2 linked regions of the Caenorhabditis elegans genome follow. The protein of the gene in region 1 interacts with the protein of each later gene in a pairwise test. Each region holds a gene or a part of one and is shown in the gene's direction. Other genes may lie near its edges.

Region 1 (3,436 bases):
GAAGTCTTTCACTAATAAATTACCACAAGGTCCACATCAGTAAATTTTCGATTCTCCAGATGATCCAGTTTAGTCGGAATACGATTTTGAATCATTTGAAGAGCAGCTTGCTTTTTCATGTAAACATCCTGATTTGAAGTGATAAGGTTCCGCAGTGTGGATACTACAATTCTGATTACTTTTTCCTTTTGACAATTGCCCAGAATTCCAGATATCGTTTGAATAAGATTCCCAGACAAAGCCACTTCTGCAGCATGTCCGTTGAAAGTGAGAAGCCACATGCAGAAAATTATTTGGTACTGAATTTGAAACCCGCATTTTCGAGTCGAATATAGAGCATGAGTCAGTGAGTCGTAGCCATTGATGTTGACAAATGAAACTCGATATGGATCGAATCTGAATAAAGTTTGCATGCATCTAACTGCTGTAACAATGTAGTCGTTGTTTGTTCCTCTATTCATCGCCTCTTTCAAAGATCCCATGCAATAGTCAAGTTCGTCTCCAGATAATCTGAAATAGTTAGAATTAATTAATGTATCTCAAGCGTATCCAACTTTATATTTCCAAAAACAGCCATTTTTGTGAGAATCGAGAATGTAATATGTACAATGTATTGATCTTGACGATGGAGAAGACCCATGAAAAAAGAAAAGGGAGATCTTTTCAGAAGAACTGCAACGTCTTCAAAAATAATTGTTCTTGTGACGTCTTCGCGGAGCATATCATCGATCAGCGTTAGAGTGTACCTGACGTAATCATCTTTCGAAATCTGAAAAAAAGAAACTAATAATTTCGAAATAGGCTTATGAAATATGATTTCACCTGAGACATCAGATGAACAAAAGCGTACACAGCCTTTTCCTTGAAAACCGAGAGTACTGTGCTCCGTTCTGCCTCGTTTTCTGCTTGTTGATAAGTCACGATAAAGTCGTAATCACTTTGAGCAATCATTCTTGTTCTGAAAAATTACTACGTAATATGGAAGATAGATAGTAAATATACCTCGTGAAAAGTCCCCAATTGGTTTTCATTGCTCGAACTTTGTCGGCTTCTTTTTGAAAATGAGTGCGAATGAGATCCTGATTCTCCCCAAATACCATTTTGAAACTGAATCAAAGAAAATTAACTTTTAAAATGAGGACAAACACAGAACGTGGAAAATGTAGAAATGGAAAATCACGGTGGTACAGCAGCTAGATGAGTGCAAATGCGCTCTACCGAACAAACCCAAATTTGACCGGTTAGGAAATTTTCAATCAAAAAAATTTTCAATAGAAAAGATAGAGAATTTTCTTGCGGCCATTTTTCATATGCATCGCAAATTCAAATTTGGGGTTAGTTTTCGAGATAGCAGCCAATATAGGTTTTCAGACTGAGTATCATAAACCAAGCCATCTAGTTTCTGTGCTACCATGAAATCCAACACGGCGATGCGAACACGCTCTATTGCGAAAATTCAAGTTTTTTTTTTCAAAATTTCTCAAAATTTGATCATGATTTCGAGCGGTATTTTTTAATTTTTACTTTTTAGTTTCCGCGAATTTTTGATAAGTAAATTTTTTCGCTCACTCTTTGTTCATTTCATTCAGATGTTCCATTTCAAGGATTTTTTTCCTTTTTATTTTCTTTTCTGCCGGTGCTCCCAAGTTTTCTTGATTTATATTCTCTTCTTTTTCCATCATCATCACAGTTTGTAAATTTATTTTTCTAGATTCAAAATGGCTGACAACGATTTCCTGAGCGGTGAAGCAATCATGGTGTTCAAAAAGGAAATCCTTGACTCCCACAGCGATTTTACTCGATCGCTTTCACATCAGTCAGCATCCCCCGAAGCATATGATCAAGAGAATGTATTTTCTCAAGACTTCCAACCGTTCATGAAACAAGATAAGGAGACGCAGAATTCGGCTTCACAGCCAACTTCTGAACAATCGTTGGCCAATCGTGATCCTTGCACAGTTCCCGATGACCTTCGTGAAGAAATGATGCGTCAAAGGAGAAAGGAAGATGCATTCAAGACGGCTCTGTGTGATGCTTACAAACGCAGTCAGGCATGCTCATACGGTGATCAGTGCAGATTTGCTCACGGCGTCCATGAGCTTCGGCTTCCAATGAACGTAAGTAATCGTTGATCCTACAAATTTCTTATTTTATGACTGGAATTTTCAGCCTCGTGGGAGAAATCATCCCAAGTACAAGACGGTTCTTTGCGACAAGTTCTCGATGACTGGAAACTGCAAATACGGAACCAGATGCCAGTTCATCCACAAAATTGTCGATGGGAATGCCGCGAAGCTAGCAAGTGGAGCTCACGCTAATACTTCATCCAAATCACCAGCAAGGAATGCTGCCGCACACAATCATTCACTCTTCGTGCCTCAGGGGTCGACAGATCGAAGCATGGATCTCAATCAGAGTCTACCAATCCGTCAATCAGATCTCGTTCGTGCGTTTGCTCGTGCCACCCGTTTGGACGTATCTGGATACAATTCTACGGCTCAATTGGCACAATATTTCGAAAGCCAATTCCAGCGGATTCAGCAGCTCTCCTCCCATCATCACTAGTTTCTCTCGTCGAAATTTCTGATCTTGACTAACATGTACTTTCTATTTTTTACTTATGGATTATATAATCAAGTCCAATAACCTGGTGCAGTCCCAAGGACATCATCAATAATTTTCCCCATTTTTGTCGTTCTTTTTCTTCTCGAGTCCGACCCCAAAATGTTGTATTCACAGGCTTTCAAAACTCACCCCCACATTCCCACATTTGTATCTAGTCTGTATATTATTGTTATCTTGAATTTTACCAATGTTTCGTTCTCAATTGCATAGCCCTCGTTATGTGGACTCATAAAATGAAATTTCTCGTAATCAGCATACAATTGTTTCAAGTTTTACGGTGCCTCTGCGGTATTAAAAAGTTCATAGAACCAGCTTACGGTACCATCATTTCTCAAGATTCTCGAGCTTTTTTAAAGACGCACGGATTTATTCAGATGGGTCTCGGCGCAAGAAAAGTTTATGGTAGTTTTTATTTTTGAGGCTCTCATTTCTCAATGAATATACCCTTCATTTTTCTGTGAAAATTTTCTTAAAATGAAATAAACTAATTGAGAAATGCAAGAAAAAAAACGAAGAGGCAGCCTCAAGTATTCAAAAAAGACTTCCATAAACTTTTGCGCACCGAGACCCATTTGAATAAATTCGTGTGCCTTTAAGAAGGCGTGCAAAAATCTTGTGAAAAAACAATAAAAATTAATGTTTCCAATATTTAAAGCGCTCATTTTTATATTTGAAAACAACTGAATATTTCGTTTAAGGTTTATTACTTTATACTTTCCATCTCACAAAAATTGAGATGAGTACTGTAACTGACTGACGTGTTTGTGTTGTGTGTGAGGAAAATCAACTAGTTTCACAATACCAGTAGACT
Region 2 (7,809 bases), on another chromosome or scaffold:
GAAACCGCGCCTGCTTACCATGATGTTCCGTTCTTGTCGATGCACCATGATAATTTTGGGTTACATTTTGAGCCTTTTCGAAAAATTAATGGTGGAAAATTTCAAGCTGAATTTTAATATTTATTTTTTTAACCGTATTGTGGGACATGCAAATGTCTTTCATTTTGTGTCCCTTCACTCTAACGTCTTCAGAATTTTCGAACTTCTCGATGCACCATAATGCTGTTTGGCGATAACTTTAGAGTAAGAATGGTAGCGATTTTTGCGATGCACCATGACGTTTTTATCGATTTTCAGAAAAAAAATCACTCCGAGACCCAAATAGTTTCATTCTCGACGCACTATAACGTTTTCGAAGTAAATTTCAAAATTGCTTCTCGGAAAAGTTTTTTGAGACCTACATGCACCTTTAATCTTCTTTGGAAACTTTGGAATTTCCGCCGAATACTCTCATTTCAGTTGTTCTCGATGCACCATGATGGTATTTTTTTCAAATTACTTTTTTTTGATTTTTCCATGAGAGGACCAATATCTGTCTTTATAACGGCGCATTCTGTAACCAAATTTTGAAATTCCACGACATTCTGCTCTCATCGATTCAACATGATAATTTTAAAATGAAATTTAGCGATTTTTCGGGAAAAAAACAGTTTCGAGATTTTCTAGTTATTGGACACTCTGCACCTTGCTTATTTGGAAATTACATTTTAAACCGACAACCCTTCAAAAACTGCTTTTCGTCGATGCACTATGAGTGCATAATTTTGTGTAAATCGTGGTGGGCCTCTAAAAAAACCGAAAAAAAAAACGTATAAAACGCAAACAAATTGTTTTTGTTGTAATGTTGACACCAACAGATTCGGCGTGGAATATACGGAAGATCGGATTTCCAAAAAAACAACCGCTCTCCTGTTTTCGACGTTCCGCCGCTTTTTATGGGAGAAGTAGTATGTACCTTTAAGGGTACTGTAGCCCCTTGAATATTGGCCTAAAAGTGAAACTAGTGTTGCCAAAAAAAAACGAGATGACCAGTTTCAATATGTCATTTACATCTACACATTTCTAAAATCTCATTTTAAATTCCATTGTTTTCTCGTTTCTTCTGTCCCAAAGTACCGTATCCTCATCCTTCTACCACCTTAATTTGCATTTCTTCTTCCTTATTCACTCTTCTTCCCCTGGACGAAAAATGTTGCACGACAACAACAAAAGAGACCCGCCCCCCACCATCGGTTTCTCTGAACCTCTAACTGTCCCCGCCCCCTTTTGGGAGCCCACTGTCTTTTCTTTTTTTCTTTGGTCGCTGATTATGACGGATCGTTTTTGTCGTTTTTGTATTACAGGAATACAAATTTCCCAAAACGCGTATTGCACAACATATTTGACGTGCAAAATATCTAGTAGCGAAAACTATAGTAACTCTTTAAATGACTTTTGTAGCACTGATGCCGATTTAATTAAATTATTTATTAACAGATAAAATATTAAAAGAAAACACGACAATTCAAAAAAATTCATTTCGTAAATCGAGCCCGTAAATCGACACAAGCGCTACAGTAGTCATTTAAAGAATTACTGTTTTTTCGCTACGAGATATTTTGTGCGTCAAATATGTTGCGCAATACGCATTCTTATAATTTTGTGTACCCGTAGTATATTTTTGTCTCTCTGATTTCCATTGCAATTTTTTAATTCCATATTTTTTTGGTGACAAATTTCTCCGCTTATCAATTTTTTTTTCAACCACATAATTATTAACCCCAAAACATCGCAGATTTTCAGGTAAAATGCCAGTCGTGAGCGTTAGACCTTTTTCTATGAGAAATGGTGAGCAATTTTTTTGAAGTTTTTTTTTGAAATTTTTAATTTTTCCAGAAGGCTTCTCAAACGGGCATAACACGTGGAACGACGCCGAATTTTGGAAACCGTGAGTTTTCGGCAAATAAGCTAACAGTCTAAGAAACACGAAAAAAAATCCAATTTTCTTTTCAAAATTCGTGATTTTCGGATGATTTTTGAACTTTTTGATTAATGTTCCCACTGAAAATCCTCCAAATCTCTAAAAATCCGCTTCTAAAAAAGCCTCAAATGGCCTTGCGAGAATAGACGGAATGTTCAAGGATGACTGGTATAAAATCGGCAAACGTGTTGCCATTCAAACAGAATATCTCGAAATTTCGCCTTCCTTTTTTTTAAGTGGGTCGGATATTTAACATACAGAAGAGAATAGGGAGAGAAAAGAGGGAAAAGAGGGGAAAAGTCTTCTTGGAAACAACCTCGAACCGCAATTAAGTTTTTGCCTCACCCTTCAATTTTCGTGAGAAAGTTAAAAATCCAAATTTTTTTCTCCTTTTTTAAAAAAAGATTTCCTCCTCAAAAATTCAAAGGATCGAATTTTTTGTTACACGCCTGCCTCCTTTTTATTACCCTTGTTCTTGATCGCAACCTCTTTTCTAGATTACTTGAAAAAATGCGCTATTTTTTTTCCTTTTTCAACAGAGTCAATTTCAAAGGTGCTGTGGAAAAAGTTTCGGTTTTTTTTTGCAAAAATAATCGAAATTTGTTCGTTTATACTGCTTAAAAAATGACCAAAATTTCAAGTAATTCATTCGAAAAATCGATTTTTTTGAAATATACAAAAATTTTCAATTTTTCATATCTGAAAACACAATTTTTTCGATTTTTCATTTTTCTTGGAAAAAACACAAAAAAAAACTGTATTTAATTTCCCACTTAATACTACGATATCCAAGCCCCGCCTCCGCGTATTGTACGTGAACACGGCGGCCCAAAATTACACACTATCTCACACACGTTAAATGAGTGATACCGTACTCTCTCTGTTTTTTCTTTCATTTTTTCGGCGCCGAAAATTTTCAATTTTTGGTGGTTCTTTTGGCGGGATTTTTCGGATTTTTGTCGCGTTCACACACACACACCAGTTGGTGTTGCCTGTCGTCACCCACCCGCCCCACTCTTTGTCCGTGTACTGCTTTGCCATTTGTGCGCGCGTACCGCTGCCCGTCTGTCTTTCTCATCATATGCGCCTCGTTTTGTCGCTTTTTCTCCATTTGCCCTTCCTACATGGGTACCTGCGGTTTTCATCGAAAATATCCTTAAAAATTCCGAAAAACCTCTATTTTTCGATTTTTGAATCGATTTTCGCCCAAACATAACCATTTTTCAGAATGAAGGAAGAACAAATCGCCTATAAATTGCCAGGGGCTTGGTATTACGAGGAGGACACTGCCTCGTGCTCTCCAGTCAGCGATCCGGAGGATATTGCGCAGTTTCTCAACTACAGAACGTCGATAGGCGTGCAAAATGTCACAGAGTCCGTGGAAGTTCCGACGTCGGAGCATGTCGCCGAGATTGTTGGTCGTCAAGGTAAAAATTGCCTTTTTAGTCAAATCTACAGTTTCCACAAATTTTCAGGCTGCAAAATTAAGGCACTGCGCGCCAAGACCAACACCTACATCAAGACACCGGTTCGCGGAGAAGATCCAATTTTCGTGGTCACCGGACGCCTGGAGGACGTGAACGAGGCGAAACGAGAGATCGACTGCGCCGCCGAGCACTTCACACAGATCCGTGCGTCGAGAAGACATACACAAGGTAGGTGACCGTAGGCAGCCGGTTCCTGAGCGCCTTGTTCAGTTGTTCCAGGAGCCCATGCACCTGGACAGATCACGAGCTATGTCAGAGTTCCGTTAAGAGTTGTCGGACTCGTCGTCGGACCGAAAGGAGCGACTATCAAGCGAATTCAACAGGACACCCACACGTACATCATTACGCCGAGCCGAGAAAGGGAGCCCGTTTTTGAGGTAATTTTGTTGGAGAGCATAGAGTTTTGGAGCAAAATTCTCAGCAATTTCATGCTTTTTAACAAAAACAGAGAAGTTTCTAGTTTCGGCTTAGAAAATACTGAAAATCGGCTTTTCCATGGCATATATCGTGCTGAAAATCTACTTTTGACTGAAAAATTCAAGTTTATGACTAAGAAAAGTTAGATAATTAGACCATGCTATTATTTCATAATATTGGTCCAATTTTTGTTGCTTTGCTGAAAATTAACAAAATTTAAAAATCGGCGGGGTTTCTGAAATATTTCTGTATAAAAACCGATTTCAACTCCAATTTTCCTCGATTTTTACATATAAGTAATCTAGAAAAATTGTAAAATGGGGAGAATTCATAAGAAAATCGGCTGTTTTGTAGCAAAGTTTGTAAATATATCATTCTGAAAGTCTCAGCGATAACCGTGATTCTAGAAAACCTCATCAGGATTTGATTTCTGCGACACACTTCTCTCGAGTTTTACATAGAAGTTGTTCATTACAAATTTCTATTTTTAAGGTCCCCATTACCATTGTCAATCTTTCATTCCGATTATTTGTTTTTCCTCGTCACTGCAAGAAGGGGAGCCTAATGCCTAGACAGAGACAGAAAACACATGTGTGTTTGTAAGTGTCTGGTGTGATATACCCAATTCTTTTCGGCCGTCTCTTGTTTTCTTCCTGACACCGAGTTTCGAGCGATTTTCGAGGTCGTACAGTTGTGAATTGGCTGCCACTGCTGTGGCAAACAAACAAAAACAATCAAACTTGTGCGGAATTGATATTCTAAAGAGAATAAAGAGCAACCATGGGCGCCGAAACGAGCAGCGGAAGGGCTTGTGACCTCTTGGTGTGAATTTTAAACGGTTTCCTTCCATCCGAAATGCTAAAAATTCCTCGGGAGCCGTTTAGGGTCTTCACTGAGAGATGATGATTAGAATCTTTTAATTTGGTAGAATTCCCCCCGCGGGACCGATTAATGTTGCATGTCGTCTTCTTCTTCTTGGCAGCAAAATATCATTGTTGATGAGATATCTCAGTTTGATGCTCAATGACGCCTTGAGAAACATCCAGCACACAGTAGATTAGTCGAATTACCGATGGATGGGGCCGCCCGGGTTTTTGGAGCCAAGAGTCACGCGATGGGGAGTCCACATACACACGCACCAACTCTTTCATTCCATCTAACAGGGTAGTAGGGTGAAGAAAAGGGGGGGGATCGCGATGACAAAGAGACTCAATTAATTAAATGACCGGGGCGGGCGCCAAATTGCACATATGCTTGGTTTTATTGCACCGTTGGCTCAGGGAGAGCAACATTTTGTGGCAGCACCAGGGGTACTTCAAAATGACGAACAAAGGTCGTTGTTGTTTCTATAGGAAGGCTTCCGAACTTTTGAACAGTAATCAGATCATATTAGGGTTATGTAATTGACGGTTTTGACCGTATGTGTCTATAGATGCGTGTGTGTGTGTGTGTGTGGCGACATAAATTACCGTATCCGCATGGCCTTTTTCCTCCTTCCTCACAATGGTAATTATCATCCCCCACTACTCTGGGTCGCCGGACGAACTGTGAATGTGTTGACAGTGCGGGCCCACTAGTACATGACATCTTGCCCCGGTGCGGTGCGCTCATCGTTATTCCTCCCAATTTAGTTGTCCGTTTGACACAAATGCCTCCGGTACCCTGGACGAGACAAGGAGGTGATGGATTTGCCAGGCGGGGAAGGAATTACATGATGTTTGGGAGAATATGAGGGAAAGGTACAGAAGCTTCACCTCGGATATTATATGCGTTCTAAAAAGACCAATTGTCGTTTTTGTTCGTGGCTCAAATGAATAATTGGTATGGAAATATAGAAAAATGTCCGACTAGTTTGGTAATAGAATTGTTTCGTTTTGAACATTTCAAAAATACCTCAAATAGTGCACTTGAGATCTTTGTTGAATTTTCAAAGGTTTTATTTTCAGATAAATTGAGCATTTTCCATACTTATAAAATCAATTTTTGGTTCAAAAACTTCTAATTTTCTCACCGAAAAAGTTCTCACAAGACAGTGACAGAGGTCGCGTGTCGTTTTGATATCCATCTCGATAATCAGAGATTGTGATCTATGCCTCAATGACACAGTTCCGCGAAGGAGTCCGAGAAAAACGTACAAAATTGGGGAAAAATATTGGAAATAACATTTATTGAAAAATTAAAAAAAAAACATAAACTATTTAAATTCACAAAAATTCGGAAGCATATTTCCTATAATGAAAACAAAAAATTCTGAAAATGTGTACTGCACAACATATTTGACGCGCATAATCTCTTGTAGCAAAAACTACAGTAATTCATAAAATTGACTACTGTAGCGCTTGTTTTGAGTTACGTGCTCTACGAAATGAATTTAAATAATTTATCGATGGAAAAATAATTTTAAGCAGAAAATGAGAAAATAATATGAAGAAACAAAAAGAAATTCGAGTTACGTGCTCTAAGAAATGAATTTAAAAAATTTATCGATGGAAAAATATTTTTAAGAAGAAAATGAGAAAATAATATGAAGAAACGAAAAGAAATTCATTCGAAAATCGAGCGCGTAAATCCAGAGCTACAGTAATCAGTGAAAGAATTACTGTAGTTTTCGCTACTAGATATTTAGTGCGTCAAATATGTTGCGCAATACACATTTCTGGAATTTTGTGTTTCCGTAATAAAATAAGTTTTTTGCGAGAACTACAAAAATATAACTATTTCTATTCCAGGTGACCGGCCTCCCACATAACGTCGAGGCTGCCCGCAAGGAGATCGAGACGCACATCTTCCAGCGAACCGGAAATCTTCCAGAAACCGACAATGACTTTGCCGGACAGTTGGCCGGTGTCTCGTTGATGGTGCAGAAGCAGCAACAGGCTCAACAACAAATGCAGGAGGCTCAGCAACAATCGATGTTCTATCGAAGAGCATTCGGCAACAGTAATCCGTTCAATCAGAAGGAGATGTCGTCGTCGCCATTCGGAATGGAGAGCTCGTTGGGATTGGACGCGTTGCTCCGCAGTTTCCCATCGATGCGTAGTTCGTTGACTCCGGAATCTCTTTCCGGTACTGGACTGTCTTCTCGTCCATCGTTGGGAGGAGGACAATCGGCGAAACAAGATCTGCCAACCTACGACTACTGGGGAACCAACAACTCGCTTAATGATATTATGGAGAACGGTAAGCTTTTTTTGCGAATTTTAATAAGAATTTTAAATGACAAATAAGGATTTTTCAGAAATTCTCAGCCGCAAGTACGATGCCCTGTCCGCATGGTCGTCGATGGGATTGGAGAAACGCGAGGAATCCCCAACCAATGGGTATATATTTTTGAAGGAATTTTATAAATTTTTGAAATAAAACTAAAAATTGCAATTTTCCTTCAAAGTTCTAAATTTTTGAAAGAAAATTTGATTTTCCGCTAAAAAATTTAAAAAAAAAACAAGTTTTCGTGTTTTCCACTCGGAACCTGACGGCTTCTTATCAATTTTTTAAATAAAAAATAACGTTTCTAAAACTCAGAATGTTTAAAAAATTTCACATTAAAAAATTATTTTTCCGAAATCTTGAACCTATCCGTTTTTGAAAATAAAAAAGAGTAAAATCGTAGTTTTCTCTATAAAAATTATAATTTTCATTTGAAATTCAAAAATTTTTAAATAAAATTGGATTTTGTCCGTCAGAAATCTATAAAAAGAAAATTTTTTTTGAACAATAAAAGAAAAATTGTAATTTTCTTTTGAACTTCAAAAAAATATGTTTTTTTTCACATGCAAAAAATTGATTTTTTCAAAACCTCGTTTTTGAGAGAAAAAGGTGAAATTCCAATTTTAAGAGGTAAAGTTAAATTTATTTATTTTATGAGAAAAACTTGAAATTTAAAGGAAAATTACTGAAATTTACAATTTATCATACATATTTTTTAATTTCGACATATCTCGAAAT

The links.
Region 2: the proteins of pos-1 (region 1) and mex-3 interact in a two-hybrid assay, tested with the Caenorhabditis elegans proteins (2 studies listed by BioGRID).

What each region holds. Positions count from the first base shown.
Region 1 is NC_003283.11:8,412,376-8,415,811, forward strand, and holds pos-1 (RNA-binding protein pos-1), read left to right. Parts: upstream 1-1,709; 5' UTR 1,710-1,718; coding exon 1,719-2,117; intron 2,118-2,169; coding exon 2,170-2,565; 3' UTR 2,566-2,879; downstream 2,880-3,436. Other genes in the region: vha-18 (putative V-type proton ATPase subunit H 1), read right to left, coding at 24-510, 555-769, 823-958, 1,003-1,100. UniProt on the Caenorhabditis elegans protein: RNA-binding protein that coordinates cell fate specification and differentiation during early embryogenesis.
Region 2 is NC_003279.8:125,510-133,318, forward strand, and holds the start of mex-3 (K Homology domain-containing protein), read left to right. Parts: upstream 1-1,775; 5' UTR 1,776-1,787; coding exon 1,788-1,827; intron 1,828-1,875; coding exon 1,876-1,927; intron 1,928-3,187; coding exon 3,188-3,387; intron 3,388-3,435; coding exon 3,436-3,615; intron 3,616-3,657; coding exon of another isoform or gene 3,658-3,666; coding exon 3,667-3,824; intron 3,825-6,593; coding exon 6,594-7,044; intron 7,045-7,102; coding exon 7,103-7,184; intron 7,185-7,809.